2 linked regions of the Caenorhabditis elegans genome follow. The protein of the gene in region 2 purifies or fractionates together with the protein of the main gene of each other region. This does not show direct contact. Each region holds a gene or a part of one and is shown on either strand. Other genes may lie near its edges.

Region 1 (3,610 bases), on a different chromosome or scaffold from region 2:
CAAATTCCACCCTAAAATTTTCGCCATTTTCAATTTTTTGAAGCTGCAGCCTGAAAACTAAAAGATACCGAGTGGGAAAGTGGAAACATTGCCGTTTTTGAATATGAAACAAACATTTCAGCGAAGATACATTACAAACCCTTTTAAAACAACATAGGAAAACCAATAATCACAGAAACATCAATCAAAAATGCGAAAAAAATATGAAAAATCGGTATTTGGCTGAAAAAAAAAATTTTCAATCGAAAACTTGCTAAGCCAATGAAACTGAATACAATGTTGGGATTAAATAATATAAGGAGAGATAACGAGATATATATATATATATATATATAATTTACGAAATAGGTATTGTAACAGTAAAAAAAAAGGAAATTTTCATGTCTTCTTCGGTTGCATTTGTTTCAAGCTTCTCTCCTGATAACTGATGTGACGCCAGAAGCTGCTGGAAGTGCTGCTGGAAGGTTTATTATCCTCATCTTCAAAATGTTCTTCCAGAGCTAGTGGTGCCATCTTTTCCGGTTTATCATCAATTCTCTTCAACGTCGGGATTCTTTTGAAAAAATAAGTTGCAAAAGATCGGGCAACTCGAAAATGCAACTCGAAAAGGCAACTCGAAAAGCAACTCGAAAATTATCCGACAGCTTCAGATGCGTGAGCGATTTCAGCGACAGCAAAGGAAATGTGCAGTTCATTGTAAGAAAGTTGTTCCGCAGGTCGAGATGTTCCACATTTACAACTTGTTTAACCAAAATTCTCGTACATTCCTTGATATTGTTGTTTGAAAGGCCGAGAACTGTGCAATTCGGCAGGTAAGGAAAATTGCGGAGACTGTTCAAGCAATGGTCCCGGGCAGTGAATTTCTGGAAAAGAAAACAAATTTCAAAATTTGATCAACCAAGACATACCTTAATACCTTCCAGATTGATCGATCGGAAGATTTCAAGATTAAAACAGAATCCGCTCACATCCAATGTGTCCGGGCGGACTTCAAGCAATCTGTTCACGGTAATTACATCCAATACTGAAAACTTTTCTCATCAGGCTATTACGGTTTTCACACCTACCAGACATATCTTGTACCGTTGAGACGTATTGACCGACTTCCGCAATCTCCGATGCGAGCGTCTCAAATTTTAATTCATTTTTGTCAACGATCACTGATTCGGTTATAGTTTTGAAACCCAATTTCAAAATGGTCTCCGCAAGATTTTTTTCACTAAAATTGTGGGAAGTGAAGAGCTGAGCACGAAGAACTTCGTCGGTTTTCGAATATGTGACTCTTTCAACTCCTTTCCAATCATGAAAACATTTTTTCATCGACTTTTCCAAATCTTGACGCATCTCTAAAGCTTCAAATTCAAAAATTACACTGTTCGAGATATTTCGTGTAGATTTTTGAGAAGATACGCTCTCTGTTTCAGAAGCCTTCTTTAGAATATTTCTTTCATAGCCAATAGTCGACTCCTTCACATTTTGAAGAACACGGGTCATCAGCTCTTTTCCACGAGCTTTCGCTTTGGCAGTCAAATCGAACGTGTGAAGCTGAAAATGAGAAATTTAACAATTTTCGGAGGAAAATTCTAACTTCGCTGATCGACATGAAATCTGCGGCGATGGCAACCTTGAGCTGCTCAAAAAATGGTGCAACTTGAGGAATCAAATCCTTTACTTCGTTATCATTTGCACAATTTATTAGGTGGCTGCGAAAATCAGATGAAACAATAACGGAGAACTTGTCGAGAATTGCATGGGACGCTGACTTCTCCGCGGATCTGAAATTAAACTTAATTTTTATCGTAATTTTCAAAGGGTTTGCTAACTGCGCATCTGGGCCGGTTCCTTTTGAATGCAGACAACACGCCGGAATTGTGGCAAACGATATTAATCGTTTCACGGCAGCGGTCGCGGGAGGCTCCACATCACGTTTGATTTCTGCAAAATGGAATGTTTATATATATTTTTTTCATTTTTCTCCGGAGATCTCCTACTCAAATCAAAATCCTGAATTATTAGCGGGCATCCCAACTGAGCTGCCAGGTATGAAAGATTTTCGAATATTGTGCGACGTGATGATCTTGACGACATCTTGTTTTGAATTCTGTAAGGAATTTTTTGTGAAAAAAAAACATAAACTCAAAAAATGAAAAAAGAATCAGGAAATACATGACTTCATCAACGAAAAACAGGAAATTTCACCTAACGATATTTTGACTACGGTAGAAATTGTTTAGTGCATATCGTGCGATTTACTAGATGCACACATTTATTTCTACCGTAGTAACGCAATGAATTATTTTGAAATTCAGAAATTCAACGTGAAGATTTGAATACAAAAATCCTGTTTTTTTGTCTCCCGTTTCTGTCATCTCGCTATCACGCCTCATGCAAATGAGAAATATAAATTTTCGCGCGCGCACCTGAGATTAAATTCCAAATTGTTTGTATTTTTATTCAATACTACGGTAGACATCGCTAGGAGATATTTCGCGCCACAAATGTAGGCATTCTCATGTTTTCATAGTTTCTCACTAAATCGTGAGATTGCGTAAGGAGCATTTAGTTTGACGCGCGATACCTCTTAGTAAAAACTACAGTAATAATTTAAATGCTACCGTAGCGCTGGTGTTGATTTACGGGCTTGATTGCCTAAAATATTTTCTTATCGAATTTTGACAGCAATTTTCATTTTTCCTTCCCTTTTCCGTATTATTTTTGTTATTTCTATTCTTTATTTTATTCTTTTTTTCTATTTTTTTTTTATTAATATAATTATTTGATCAGTAAATAAATATTTTTAATTTAAAAAACGTGCAAAATTGGTTTCATTTTAATGAGGAAACTCCCAAGCAAGCATTTATTTTTCTCTTTTTCATCTCTTTCTCAGATTTTTCAGGAGAAGGCCGACATTTACATCTGAAAAGTAAAAATTAACAATTTTTATTGATAATAATTGATTTTATTCAGGTTTTCAACAACAATGGGGGCCTACTCAGTAAACCCGTTCAGAATATACCCAGATTTAAACCAAATTAAAACCGTACAAGCCTATATTGTGAATTTATCTGCACAAATTTGGTTTGGATCTACACAAAATCGATTTGGATCTACACAAACCTACACAAATTCAGTTTACATCTACTCAAACTTGCAATCTATGCAAATTAAGTTTGGATCTAGACAATCTTGGTTTACATCTGCCCAAAATTAGAATTTTTCATAATATAGGCTTGTACGGTTTTAATTTGGTTTAAATCTGGGTATATTCTGAACGGGTTTACTGAGTAGACTGCTGGCTGTGGTTCCGAAGAAGAATGACTTCGGATACGAAGGTAACCAAGAAATGAAATGAAAAAGCTCCACACAAATCTTTTAGAATCTTTATTTTCGACGGAGTTGTTTGACAAAAAAAAAGTTGTAATTATCATGGTGCGCCCATAGTCTGCGGAAAACGGGAATTTTCCGCGGTCCGAGGCGTCCATTGTGCGCGGAAAAAAACATGGAATTTATCGCTTCGCTATTGGTCGATTTCAAAATAGTGGGCGTGTCCAACCAATTAGAGCCTGTTAAATTTTAAGCGAAAATTTACCGTATGACATTTGTGACATGA
Region 2 (3,230 bases):
TCAGAAGCTCCTGTAGAATCGAACACAGAATCGGAAGAAAATTCACACGAAGATTCCGATGAGCCTGAACACTCTGACAGCCATGAAAACGTAAGATTTGATGAATAAGTTTCAAAACCTGTAAGATATAATTATTCAGGATCACTATTCCCCACCAGAGATTGACTCATCAGATGACCCGGTGCTAATTAGAAAAGGGCATGGTAAAAGGGGAAAGGTAGAGTTTGCTTACCGAAAACCATTCGACCTGATTTAATTTTTTCTTTTTTTTTCAGCATTTCACATTGGAACCAGAATTCGAGGAAACCACGGCAACTGTTTAATTCTCATTGGTTCTTTTTTCTGACCTTTTCTGATTAAATTTTTTTTGTAAATATATTGATGTTGTGAATAAAATTATGTATTTTAATGAGGATTTTTTTAAAAATAATGTAAAAAATGTAAAAATTAATTGATATCCACAACGCTTCAAGAACGTCTACAGATTTCTGGTCAGGGAATATGATTTTCTCTTTGACGTATGATGGGTAAGATCAAAACCATTTTTCACTAGTTATTTACTTGTGCTTAAATAAATGCACTCTATTCTGCAAAACTCGAAAAATGAAAAATGACAGGTGACGAGCACGAACTCTATCCATATTCTTCAATATTGAAAAGTTAAGTTATATTGCAAAGTTTATTCCATACAAGTTTATAAGATGCACACTTTTATGACGATTAGATGTTAATTATTAATTCTTCGAGCTCCAACTGAAATATAATTTTGATAACGCAAGCTTACTATATCTAGGAGCTCACCGTGTCCCCTTCCAGTTCAAGCCCTTCCAGTCCTGCTAGCGGAGAGTCAGTGTCTTTCACACAATCACAACCAGAGTCGGAATCGTATTCAATATAAAATGTCTCTGATTCTTTCATATTCGAATCTCCATTGCCTCCAACCAGAATATCAAATTCTTGTCTAAAAGGGGCAGCAAATATTCCAACAGTGACAATAGTCAGGAATAAAAGGGGTATAATTCTAGAAAACATTTTCACTGTTTGTATTTTTATCGTATAACTCTGGTTTTATAGTTTTACACTTATGTGTTATAATGTGTGCTTAACAAGTACAAAACAGTATTTTGTATTCGGTTTTTTGTGCACCTGTGTTTGACCAGCTGTTTTCTGTGGGATGTTTTGGAAACTTTGTCATTTGTGGCAATACATATGAGTCAGTGTTTTGGGAACTTAAATAATTTTTTTAATATTTAAAACAAATGGTTCATGATGAGCTAACGCCAGTGACTATAGCTTCATTTAAAAATAGAATTGCCCCAATGTTTTTAAAGCAACTGCGACCTAGGCCTAGCTAATACTTACTATCTACCTAGATACTGATACAATCCGATTGCTTCTTGTTGTGTATTGAGCGAGTGACAAGGAGAGAAGAAGTTTATTACAAGAGAATGTAAGAAGTAATGAATTATAAAGAGAGGTCGCTTACGCGATAAGTTCATGATGACCCAAAGGTCACGTCTGTATAAAGTTCAGGTTTACGTTCCGTCCACAACATCTCCCCTCTTGTATGACAAAAAGCCAGAAATTATGCCTGGGCTAGGGGCATCACGACCAGAGGCGGTATCTCGACCTCTGCGGCGAGTGGAGGCATGATCAGTGTTTGGGGCTGATCCTCGCACAACTTGTCGTGGGTGGCTCTGTCGAAGAGAATGACACAGGAGGATGCCGGGTTGGAAACGCTCGCCGTCACTCGCAACATCGGATTCCAGCAGGGGGTCCAGATGGGTTTCTTTGATTGGCGAACTTCCAGCAGTATATGATTGGCGACTCTTAGCCACACGGTGACGTCTTCTGTGGCTTTTCTTCAACGAACTCTTGCTCTCCGTGACATGAATCGTAGTTATATTTGCACCAGTAGCATTCCGAGCATTGCCGGCAACCGACGAGACGACTTCACGAGCAGATCGAGAACCAACAGACTCACAAGCTGACAAATCTGGAGCACTAAAACCAAAAACAGAAGAATCTGAAACTAAAACTGGAATAGCTTCCCTCCCCTCACCACGGACACCTTGAGCGACAAATTTTTGGCGGCAACTAGAGCGCGGAATGTTTTCCAAAAGCGACAATTTGCACGGATTTTCAATGAAGGATGAAGCATAGTCATTCCCACGGCTCCGGCGACCGCAAATGTGACGGAGTTGGTTCGTGTGAATCCTCTGAATTCTCGATCCCAACTGTACTTTATAGAGTACTCCGTTCACTTGTCTTTGAACAACTCCATAAATCCAGCCAAAATTGTGCTCTCCTTGAACCCGAGCAAGGCACAATTGCCCAATCTGAAATGCTTTATTGCGCGCAAATCTTACATACTGGCGCTTACTACTACGCGGCGCAGATGCAACAACATGTCTCCCAACATTTTCAGCACGATCTTTGTATCCAGTAGGAATCCTTGAGAACGAGTGCAGATTTTGCTTCGAAGTATCCACAGTGGATATATGATTAACCATTACGGCCAAAGCATCACGCATTTGAGGCGAGTGGCGCATCCAACTGGTGCCTAACAGATTATTGTTTCTGTTCCAGACGTATACATACTCAGTGTATTCGACACCTTTGACTTTGAACCATACGAGCACTCTACCTTTGACAGCGATTTCAGTACCATTGGCACAGCAAATTTTGTGGTGGACCTTTTCGAGATGCGGTTTCCCGATCTTCTGCCGGTTCTGGACACTGATAAGGGTGATGTCACTGCCTGTATCAAATGTGAAATCGATCTGTTGTCCTTCCACGTTCAACCGAAGACTAGGCGATGTCTGTCTTCCAGACCCAACCTCGAGCGTATTCACTTCAGAATGCTCAGTCTTACGATTGGTCACACCTGAATTGGTGGAACTCTGAGGACAGTCTTTTGAAACGTGCCCGACTACTTTACACTTGTAACAATACGGAGATCTGTAGTTTCCTTTTCTCGAATCCTTCTTCTTGTCATCTGCATCAACTTGGTTTACTTCGAATTTCGGATGTTTGGCGGGAGTTGCTGTGATGACTTTGGATTGCTGCTGCGTTTGGATGTAACGGATCCATTCGTCATGGACGTCGGATAACTTGAGTTTTTCATCTTTTCGCTCAAACTGTTCGCAATATTGCATCAAATAACGCTTTGCTAGGGCGTCCTCCGGCGCATCCATTCCACGTAAGAAGATAAAGATCGACCAATCATC

Evidence for each region. The genes of interacting proteins can lie anywhere in the genome.
Region 1: the proteins of F14F9.6 (region 2) and K05C4.4 fractionate together in Caenorhabditis elegans (co-fractionation; one large-scale study listed by BioGRID). This does not show direct contact.

The regions. Positions count from the first base shown.
Region 1 is NC_003279.8:14,733,714-14,737,323, reverse strand, and holds K05C4.4 (Leucine Rich repeat-containing domain protein), read right to left. Parts: upstream 2,102-3,610; 5' UTR 2,089-2,101; coding exon 1,992-2,088; intron 1,936-1,991; coding exon 1,824-1,935; intron 1,776-1,823; coding exon 1,589-1,775; intron 1,546-1,588; coding exon 1,068-1,545; intron 1,025-1,067; coding exon 909-1,024; intron 864-908; coding exon 540-863; 3' UTR 128-539; downstream 1-127.
Region 2 is NC_003283.11:5,145,459-5,148,688, forward strand, and holds F14F9.6 (uncharacterized protein), read right to left. Parts: upstream 1,037-3,230; 5' UTR 1,033-1,036; coding exon 802-1,032; intron 754-801; coding exon 721-753; 3' UTR 667-720; downstream 1-666. Other genes in the region: F14F9.2 (Secreted phosphoprotein 1), read left to right, coding at 1-90, 140-217, 276-323.